3 linked regions of the Saccharomyces cerevisiae S288C genome follow. Changing the gene in region 2 together with the main gene of any one other region gives a genetic interaction. Each region holds a gene or a part of one and is shown on either strand. Other genes may lie near its edges.

The links.
Region 1: of KEX2 (region 2) and GAS5, extra expression of one rescues a mutant of the other (dosage rescue), as found in Saccharomyces cerevisiae (one study listed by BioGRID).
Region 3: of KEX2 (region 2) and SEC7, changing one enhances a phenotype caused by changing the other (phenotypic enhancement), as found in Saccharomyces cerevisiae (one study listed by BioGRID).

The regions. Positions count from the first base shown.
Region 1 is NC_001147.6:266,175-269,932, reverse strand, and holds GAS5 (1,3-beta-glucanosyltransferase), read right to left. Parts: upstream 1,747-3,758; coding exon 292-1,746; downstream 1-291. Other genes in the region: YOL029C (uncharacterized protein), read left to right, coding at 1-118; SIL1 (Sil1p), read left to right, coding at 2,404-3,669. UniProt on the Saccharomyces cerevisiae protein: Splits internally a 1,3-beta-glucan molecule and transfers the newly generated reducing end (the donor) to the non-reducing end of another 1,3-beta-glucan molecule (the acceptor) forming a 1,3-beta linkage, resulting in the elongation of 1,3-beta-glucan chains in the cell wall.
Region 2 is NC_001146.8:200,476-204,233, reverse strand, and holds the start of KEX2 (kexin KEX2), read right to left. Parts: upstream 1,807-3,758; coding exon 1-1,806. Other genes in the region: LAP3 (bleomycin hydrolase), read right to left, coding at 2,301-3,665.
Region 3 is NC_001136.10:800,536-804,293, reverse strand, and holds the start of SEC7 (Arf family guanine nucleotide exchange factor SEC7), read left to right. Parts: upstream 1-2,071; coding exon 2,072-3,758. Other genes in the region: YDR170W-A (gag protein), read right to left, coding at 1-1,099. UniProt on the Saccharomyces cerevisiae protein: Guanine exchange factor that acts as an activator of ARF1 at the trans-Golgi network and is thus involved in vesicular budding and traffic between compartments of the Golgi apparatus.

The sequences.
Region 1 (3,758 bases), on a different chromosome or scaffold from region 2:
TTCGATCTCATCAGCGTTAGAGAACATTGCATCTGGATTGCACGTTCGTGGACAGAAAGTAGAATTGCAAAGCATCAAGGATGCATTACATAAGATGGACAAAAACGTCTTGGAATGATGTATTTAGAAAGAAAAGAAAAGTGGAAGCATAAATAGTGCATATAGATATAGGTATATATATGAATTTTTTAATAATAATATTAATGATGTTTTTTTATCTTAAGAACATTAAAAGTAAGCGGCGCTAACGGAATAATTAGAAACAATGTGGTAAAGAACGGGGGTGAAAACTCATAAAACCAAGTTATAAAGTTCTGCCAAAGCACGGAATATCAAAGGAATCTCAATAATTCCGGCAGCACCCTTTGATTTCGAGGACGATTGGCTGGACGAAGTAGCAGATGCGGCAGATTTTAGCAAGCTCGTTTCGCTAGCAGAAGGGGAGGAGGAAGATGCCTTTGAAGTCGAGGATGATGATTCAGAAGATGAAGAAGCGGAAGATGAAGATGAAGAGGAAGAAGAGGATGAAGAGGAGGTGTCGTCGTCTTCTTCGTCGTCATCGTCCTTAGCATCACAACTTTGTTGGGTGGCGATTCCGGTTCCCATAGGAGAACCTGCTCCAGATGTGAAGTAAGCAGAAGCAGCACTTGGCATAGCAGGCAAAGTGTTATTAGCTTCCCAGACACCCTTTTCATAATCAGGACATGTAGAATAGTTGTTGGAAGTACTGTAACCACCATTGCCTTCTGGGTTGGATACTTTGCTGTATTCATTTTTCAAGTTTTCAAAATCTGTCAATTTAGTGACCTTGTCACCATCAATTTGAACGAGCCCGTAATTGTTAGTTTCATTGGAATATTCGTAGACTAGCCCACCGGAGAATACAGAAGACATTTGAGTGGAATAGATAGCTTCAATTTCTGTGAATGGACGAGAGCTCTTGACTTGGTTACAACCAAATTCACTTAAGAAGACAGGAACGGAGTAATCTTGATATAGCTTCATCTTGGTGGAATAACCCGATACCACAAATGAAGATTCACCACACCAAGAATAGTCATTAACACCAAACATGTCGATTCTAGCGTCAGCTTCATCACCACAGTTAAAGTATTCAGCAGCCAATTGTCTGTTAGCGACGATATCAGCAGCCGAGTAACCTACCGGAATTTGTCTGTATTTTCTAGCCTTGATGTATTTCTTCATGTCCCTGACCACTGCCTTGACATAAGTAGCAGTGTTGGTAGTATTAACACTATTGATGACCTCGTTACCAGCGAAAAAACCTAGAACATTGTCGTAATCAGCAAAGGTATCAATGGTGGCAAAGACATTTTGTAAGTAGTCAGCGTTATAGGAGCAGGCTGGATCGTAACGAGAAATAGCACTCGTGGGGGTATTGACATCCAGGATCAAGTATATACCGTTCTCCTGCAATAGTTTCATACAATGGGAATGATCTTGCGAGTTATCCACAGTATAAACTCTGACAGTATTTATCCCTAGATCTTTCAGAACGGGGACGTCTCTGTCACAGACAGATGCGTCTGCTAAGGGATCAGTCAAGTTAGAAGAACCACCAGGCTGGTAATCAACACCACGGATATAAAACCTTTCACCTGATTCCGAATTAAAAAATGCATTGCCTTTAATTTCAATGGATGGTGTGGAACTGTTACTGCTGCTAGCAGCCTGAGCCAAACCAGCACTTAAAACGAAGGCACTTGTAAGAGAACGTAGTAACATAGCTATTTAGAGCTGTGTGTGTAGCGAGTGATATATAATATGTTTGTTACAGCCCACTGTTTACTTTTATATACGAAATGCAACACTGTCAACAAATCAGTTCAGGGACCTTCCTATTTATAGTATAAGCAAAATAAAAGTGAAAAATTTCCTGCGGAGTTTTTTTTCTCGAGAAATTGTGAACAAAAGAAAGCAAAGACACAGAAGATGATAAGAGAGAGAAACAACGAAGAAAGAACAACAATGTTGGGGTTCACCCGAGAGATATTGACATACTGACCTTAGAAAAGGCATTACTGAGGCTACTGACTAAAGCGCGTTACATAAATGCATAGTATATTTCTTGTTGTATACGCAGCGGCCAACTAGTGGCAGCAAGAATGTAATGAACGATTCATCTGCAGGTTTGGAGGCCGCAACTAGATCAAAACGTAAATAGCGGGTGAAGTGTTCTGGACGTTAGAAGTAACGTCCGCAGATCGAAGCTAAACACGAGATTAGATTTCGGGTAACGGAATTGTGATAATTAAGAAAGACCAGACTATGTGAAAAGGCCACGTAAATGATAGAGCACACATTAGCAACTATAATAGACTAGTTTTCGCATCGCTGGAAGTTCTCGATATTGAATATCACTTCCAAGAACGCAAACTTAGAATGGTCCGGATTCTTCCCATAATTTTGAGCGCCCTATCTTCGAAATTAGTGGCGAGTACAATATTGCATTCATCCATACACTCAGTGCCATCTGGAGGCGAAATCATATCTGCAGAAGATCTTAAAGAACTTGAAATTTCAGGGAATTCGATCTGCGTTGATAATCGTTGCTATCCTAAGATATTTGAACCAAGACACGATTGGCAGCCCATACTGCCAGGTCAAGAACTCCCCGGTGGTTTGGACATTAGAATAAACATGGACACAGGTTTAAAAGAGGCAAAACTAAATGATGAGAAGAATGTCGGTGATAATGGTAGCCATGAGTTAATTGTATCTTCAGAAGACATGAAAGCATCGCCTGGTGACTATGAATTTTCCAGTGATTTCAAAGAAATGAGAAACATCATAGATTCTAACCCGACTTTATCTTCACAGGACATTGCCAGATTGGAGGATAGTTTTGATAGAATAATGGAATTTGCGCATGATTACAAGCACGGCTACAAAATTATTACCCATGAATTCGCCCTCTTGGCCAACCTTAGTCTCAATGAAAATTTGCCGTTAACATTGAGAGAGCTCAGTACTAGAGTCATTACCAGCTGCTTGAGAAACAATCCTCCTGTAGTCGAGTTCATTAATGAAAGTTTTCCAAATTTTAAAAGCAAAATCATGGCCGCTCTGTCAAATTTGAATGATTCTAACCACAGATCCTCTAATATCCTAATAAAAAGATACTTGTCCATTTTAAACGAATTACCTGTCACATCCGAAGATCTTCCTATATACTCTACGGTTGTTTTACAAAATGTATATGAAAGAAACAACAAGGACAAACAGTTACAAATAAAAGTCCTGGAGTTGATCAGCAAAATTTTGAAGGCCGACATGTACGAAAATGACGATACAAATCTAATTTTGTTCAAAAGAAATGCTGAGAATTGGTCGTCAAATCTGCAAGAGTGGGCAAACGAGTTCCAAGAGATGGTCCAGAACAAAAGTATAGATGAACTACATACAAGAACGTTTTTTGACACCCTTTACAACTTGAAGAAAATTTTCAAAAGTGACATCACGATCAACAAAGGGTTTTTGAATTGGTTAGCGCAACAATGTAAAGCCAGGCAATCTAACTTGGACAATGGGCTCCAAGAGAGAGATACTGAACAAGACTCATTTGATAAGAAACTTATCGACAGCAGACACTTGATCTTTGGCAACCCCATGGCTCATAGAATAAAAAATTTCAGAGATGAACTCTGATTTCACTGTCATTGCATATATAGTTTAATATTAATAATATTTTTTTCAATTAATATTTCGTGAATCTTATTAGAGATATATTATATATC
Region 2 (3,758 bases):
AGTTTCTGTTTTAGATGAATCAATGGATTCCCCAAAGAGCTTCAGCCTCCAACTGTGGAAGTCAATCCTGTGTCCATTTTCTGTTGTCTTAACCTTGATTTTCCAATCACCTACGCCGTTCTCACCCCAATGTGCTACAGACATGAATGTCCAGTCTTTGAATCCCTCTGATGAAACATCTCTTGGTCTTACAACGCCAAGGTTTGAAATTATCCCCGCTGGTGATATTAAATCGACAGTCGTAGTTCCCCTAATTTCTGTATCAATATCTACAGTTACCGTGACGTGCTCAATTCTCTTGAAGTTAGCATCTTGAAGACTTTTTTCTGATATGGTTATGACGGATTCTAATGTCTCTTCCGTGGAGTTTGTGGACTGGGAAACATACAATGTTGGCAGGTAAAACCAGGTTTGTGCGTTAACATTCTCCCAGGTCTTGGACATTTCAATTAACTTATGGGCATCGATTTTACCAAAGCCATAGCGATGAGAGTATTTCTTCCCCATGGCGCTATCTCTCCAATCTCCGTCAGCGTTCTTTTCTAACCCTACCGCAGACAAGATTGATAAATACTGTACGTCTCTCCAAGTTAGGTTTGGGTTGGCTTCTAGTAACAAAGTGTAAACACCGGCAGCTAATGGAGCAGCCGCAGACGTTCCACCGTGGCTATTACTGCATCTGCCGTTGATATCACTCGAATGAATATATTCGCCTGAACCTGAAGAATACGTGACTGCCATGACGGCGGAACAACCTTCGGAATAAGGAGGATGTAGATCTTTGTGATCAATAGCCCCAATAGTAATAGAATATATGGAATTAGTATAGCCGTCGTAATTGCAATTATCACCACGAGTTCCACCATTTCCACTGGCAAAAACGTAAATCGCTCCTTTGGAATCTCTTCCCTCAGTAACACCTTTTACTAAAGCCTTTTTCACCAGGTCACTAGGGCCTTGTAAATGTCTTCCGTCATCAGCGGGACCCCATGAGCATGAATATATATCGTTTACGTCTAGACCATAAATCAAGGACGCAGCTTCATCTTCCGTAGTGATATCACCGGATAAGATTCTTATGCCTGAGATTTTAGCGTTGTAACCTACCCCGACACCGCAAAAATTGTTACCTTTTTTGGCAGCTATTTCACCTGCACATCTCGTACCATGGTAGTCATCAGATAATCTTGGTTTAGGTAAATTGGTATTGTCGTTGAAATCCCAAGAACCTTCAGCGCAAAAATTATCCTTCAAGTCTTCATTTTCGTAGTCAAGGCCATCATCAACAATGGCAGCCACGACCCCTGCGCCTGTAATATTATTGTACCACAGATCAAGAACATTTATATCACTGCCAGGAAAACTTGGATTGACCAAGTGCCACTGCCTCTCAAAAAGCGGATCATTTATGCTGAGTTTATCCTCAGCTTCTTTTACCGGTAACAAGCTTGAGTCCATTGGTGGAGCAGGCACCGGTAGTCTCTTAAATAGGTCGTTACGCGGGAATAAATCATGGACAGATAATATGTGGTCGTTGTTATCCCCCTGTAACTCTTCTAATGATGATCTTTTGCCCAATTTTAGCAACTCTTTTGAAAAAACATAATGGTTTGGTAGCCCTCGAACATCATGTTCATATTTCCAATTTGGATGCATTTCCTCCAAGCGGGATAATGTTTCATTGCTTTCTACAGCAAAATACTGTCGTGACGTATGGTCCTTCAATGGAATTTGTTGTGATGATACAAGAGCGGATGTTGAAAAGGCCCACCAAAAGCATAAAGTAATATATTTCCTCACTTTCATCTGATAATGGGTTAGTAGTTTATAATTATGTGACGAGGCCAAAAAACAACGGGATTAGTTTATCCTTAGTATGGTAGCCGAATGAATGAAATATGTGGAATAGATTTCTCTTTTACAAAACGGGATGTTTAAGCCAGGAAAAAGAACAGGCTTATGACAGAATTATGCATATGAAACGAGAGAAAGAACACGTCCAGCAAATATGGAGTACCTTGTTTGCCTTTAGAAAATGTTTCGGTTTCAATACTGTTCTCTTCAGCGATGCTGTTGAAGTATCAGCTCAGTTATTTAATATGCTAACCTTTCCTTTGTTTGTTTTCTTTTTCTATCTTTATTTTTTTTCCATTTACCGTTTTTTGCGTTTCAGAAAATGACCCTCATTGATTATATGAATAATAATATACACGTTATCATTTTTTATTTCTTTTATGTATGTATAGTAAAAATAAAACATGTCGAGATACGTGTATCTACATCAGAGCTGCTGAAACTATTTATTTGGCCAAAGCACCCATTGGGTCCCAGATGGGCAAGACAATCGGCTCTTCCTTACCTGAGGTGAATTTTGAAGCCAGCTCTTTTGGCAATTCATTGATATCGACCACAATTTGAAAGCAGTACTCCTCGAAGTACTTTTGAGTCATCACGTATAATCCGTCTTTACCGGAGTCTTTACCCCAGGAATTTTCAACGCGGTAGCGAAGTGGTAATTTAGACGTTTCATCGACGTGGCAGCCAGTGATCAACATAGCATGAGTCATCAAACTTTCATGGTATCTAATACGCGATGCCTTTTGCTGAGGTAAATTATAGCCGATGGCAGGATAGTTCCACAATTCAATATCCATGACACCAGTTTTCTTGTCCATGAACTTTGGAGTGTGAGATCCAAAAAAGACAGCTTTGTTATTTTGTAATCTCTTAACAACCAATTTAGATAGTGTTTCATTGTCAACATTTAAGTAAATCACGGCATCTCCGCCAAGGACGTTTCCTAAACGATCGATCTTAATTAATTTACCATATGGGTGTCTTGGATCATTGATCAATGAGACTGGCGTGGAAGGGTCCAATTTTGCGTATTTGGAGGCAAATTCTAACGGAGTCGATTTGATAGTGTGGATTTTCTTGTCTTTGTCAACGTATTCCCAAGTGAATTGCTCGTTTGGTTGCACTGGAGGTATGTCCATGAACAACGACATCAACCTGAAGATTTCTCTTTGCATTTGCTCTCTCAGAGTGACAATTATGGAATCATCGGCAGAACGCTCTTTCAAAGCTGTTCTTAGAGTCTCGGCAAATTCTCTCAGTTTAGTAGTCAACAGAGAATTCCATTTTCTGGACGCAGTAGTAGAATAAGGTAGATCCCCGTATAAATCTTTGGGGATAAGGCCATACTTCTTGACTAGGTTCAAAAACATGCTGTATTGGCCACCGTCTTCTGTTGGAGCTGCTAACAAGTATTGCACGAGACGTGAGTCGATGTCTTGATCAGCCGAGGAGACGATTTGGTCCAAGAAATAGTTGGCCTTTTCCAACTTATCGTAAAAGAACAAGTAAGCTTGGGACAGTTCGAATTCTTTTAAGTTCAATTCAGAAAGAACATTCAAGCGCAGTTGATTGGTAGCGGCAAACAACCAACATCTACCAGAGCTTTTTTGGTTGGTGACTGGAGTGGAATCAGTAGAGACAACAGTGTTGAAAACCCTGTTATCTTGCTTTTGCAGTCTAGTCTTGTTCAACAGTGCATCATCGGCATTATAATTCTTAAGGACAGTGGTTGCCAATTGATGGGTTAAGTCGGATTGAAACTCTTTGTTCCAAGAGTTGATCTTACTGATATCGATGGAAGAGGACATTCTTTTTAAAACAATTTGTGGTGCTCGTAAAAGGTGGCTTCTAAACGTCTTGAGATACAAGGACCGGGAAACAGAAGTAGGAAGCATGTAACA
Region 3 (3,758 bases), on a different chromosome or scaffold from region 2:
CATCACTCGGACTTCTCCTATAAGTAGATTTATTACGTTTTGATTCCTGTTGTTCTTCATACATAGAATGTATGTCTGAAAACAGATCAGCAACTGTCATATGTATATATCGATGACGTGCGTAGCGTAAAAATTTGTATTCGCCAGATAGACCTCTCATAATGAATTGGCATGCTACCTTGTTATTGATAGGAATGCCATTGTTTTTTAGTCTGTCAAGAATGTTTGTGACTTCTGCTTCAAATGCATCTGCAGGTGTACTTCCATTATAATGCAAATTTGCTAGGGTCGTAATGTCATTTACCTCTTGAGTATCAGACTGCATTTTGTTAATGCTTTTGGAAAGAATTTTCATGATATCTGTATAATCAACAGATAAGATGTCTTTAACCCAGGTGGGTAAGAATTGAGATAGAGCAAATAGTTGAAAGGTGTGACATAAGAAGGTGAGTTCGTCATCAGTCATCTGACGTACGGCTTTTCTTGTTGCTGTCGGAATAATATCACCGAGATTCGAATTTTGTAAAAATTTGATGTATATTTTAACCCAATTTAGAAAGTCATTAGGTGAGGTTAAGATTGGCGGTGGTCTGACATGTTGATTAGTGGATGTCATATTAGACTTTGCTGAGGATGAATCAGGAAATGAATTACCTGACTCAGGTGACGGGGTGTTCAAATGTGTTCCAACATATTGTGGATATTGTGTAAACTGTGATTGTGCTCCAGGTGGAGCGTACATAGGTGACATTTGATAAGGTGGATACGGCATCAAAGATGGGTGCCCGTATACTGGCCAACCAGAAATATTGGCTTGTTGGGGAGTCATCATTCGCTGCTGTGGGTACGGCCCATTTTGTGGCAATGGTACTTGAGCAGCTTGAGGAGAGGCATGATGATGGTTCTCTGGAACAGCAGCTGAGGGAGGTGTTGTTGGCTGTTGAGAATTAGCCTGAGTGAAAACCTTCTCACATTCTTCTGTTTTGGAAGCTGAAATGTCTAACGGATCTTGAGTTGTTTGGACTTCTTTAGAAGTAACCGAAGCACAGGCGCTACCATGAGAAATGGGTGAATGTTGAGATAATTGTTGGGATTCCATTGTTGATAAAGGCTATAATATTAGGTATACAGAATATACTAGAAGTTCTCCTCGAGGGTCAGGAATCCCCATAATGGAATCTATATTTCTATATACCAATATTACGATTATTCCTCATTCTGTTTTATATGTTTCATTATCCTATTACATTATCAATCCTTGCACTTCAGCTTCCTCTAACTTCGATGACAGCTTCTCATAACTTATGTCATCATCTTAACACCGTATATGATAATATATTGATAATATAACTATTAGTTGATAGACGATAGTGGATTTTTATTCCAACACTATGTGTGTATTGTGTGTGCGTGTAATATAATCATTTCTAGTCATCTCTAGTCAAAGTAACTTATAAAAGCCTAAAAAAGGAGGATTTAACATGAATTGTCGGTCCTATAGTGTAGTGGTTATCACTTTCGGTTTTGATCCGGACAACCCCGGTTCGAATCCGGGTAGGACCTCTTTTTATTTTTACTCTAACAAATCAACATTGATATTTTTTGTTGATGTGTTAGAGTGGAGCCAACGATGCTCTTAAGATATACACTTTAGTACTTTTGAAGCTCTTACAGTTTTTTGATGTCGGAGAAGGCTTATACATATTGTTATTTTCCCTCTACAGGAAAGAAGGTGAACGTTTAGTTTTTATCAAGGCGCCGAGTAAATTTTATAATATCGAGGCGAGGGAAAAACAAAGCAACGAGAAAGGAAGCTCAAAGTTGGGATTTACATCATTTCTTTAAAAAGCATCATTGGCTTCTCTCCAATTGTTCAATAAACGCAGACTAATAGAAATTGAAGTCATTTTCCGGAGAAATATAAAATATTTTCTGCAACTAAGCTATACTCGATTTCTTTTAAGTTTCTCCAGAACCAATAAAAAGTAATATCTTAAACTGTTTCTTTCTCATTTTTTCCCCGAATTCCATTAAAGAAGATAAGAAACAAGTCTAAGTGCTACTATATCTGATGTCTGAACAGAATTCAGTAGTAAATGCTGAAAAAGGGGATGGCGAAATATCTTCAAATGTAGAGACTGCTTCTTCAGTCAATCCGTCTGTGAAACCACAGAATGCTATTAAAGAAGAAGCTAAAGAGACAAATGGTGAAGATCAAAAATGCAAAGGGCCAGAAAACGCTGGCAGTACGGCAGAAACAAAAGAAACAAGTAACGACGCTACCAACGGAATGAAAACGCCCGAAGAAACGGAAGATACAAATGACAAACGCCATGACGATGAAGGTGAAGATGGAGATGAAGATGAAGATGAAGATGAAGATGAAGATGAAGACAATGGGGACGAGGATGATGAGGACGTGGATAGCAGTAGTTCCGAAACCAGTTCCGAAGACGGGGAAGATTCTGAATCAGTCTCAGGGGAAAGTACTGAGAGTAGCTCTGGAGAAGATGAAGAATCTGATGAAAGCGATGGAAATACATCAAACAGCTCCTCTGGTGATGAAAGCGGGTCAGAAGAAGAAGAAGAAGAAGAAGAAGAAGAAGAAGAAGAGGAAAATGCTGGCGAACCAGCTATCGCTCATCAAGATAGTGTTCCCACCAACGATTCTACTGCCCCAAGGTCTACCCATACGAGGAACATATCACTATCTTCAAATGGTTCGAACACAAACTCAACCATAATTTTAGTGAAAACTACGTTGGAGACAATTTTAAATGATAAGGACATTAAAAAGAATTCGAATGCTCAGAAGGCTATCGAAAGGACATTACAAAAATTTAAGGAATTTGATCCGCAAACCACGAATAACCCACATTACGTGGATTCAATACTAGTATTCGAAGCACTAAGGGCAAGCTGTCGTACCAAATCCTCCAAAGTTCAAAGTTTGGCTTTAGATTGCCTGTCAAAATTGTTTTCTTTTAGATCGCTAGACGAGACCCTGTTAGTGAATCCACCCGATTCTTTAGCCTCTAATGATCAACGACAAGATGCTGCCGATGGAATAACGCCGCCTCCAAAACAAAAAATTATAGACGCTGCAATTGATACTATTTCAGACTGTTTTCAAGGTGAAGGCACTGATGACCGTGTGGAACTACAAATCGTTAGAGCTTTATCTAGTTGCATTTTAGAAGAGGATTCAAGTTCTTTATGCCACGGTGCTTCCTTGCTAAAGGCTATCAGAACAATCTACAACGTTTTCGTCTTTTCGTTGAACCCATCCAATCAAGGTATTGCACAGGCGACCTTGACACAAATTATTAGTTCGGTGTATGATAAAATCGATCTCAAACAAAGTACCTCTTCAGCAGTATCCTTATCGACAAAAAATCATCAACAACAATCCGCCATAGAACTTTCCGAGGCTTCTGAAAATGCAGAAACGCCGGCTCCTTTAACTCTGGAAAATATGGATAAGTTGAATGACGATGAGGAAAGACTAATGGACGCTCAACAGCCTGATTCTATCGCCATAACTAACCAAGATCTAGCTGTTAAAGATGCGTTCTTAGTGTTTAGAGTCATGGCGAAAATATGTGCTAAACCTTTGGAAACAGAACTCGACATGAGGTCACATGCCGTCAGGTCAAAGCTTTTATCTCTTCACATCATTTACTCTATTATCAAAGATCATATTGACGTATTCCTTTCCCACAACATTTTTCTACCAGGAAAGGAGCGTGTGTGCTTTA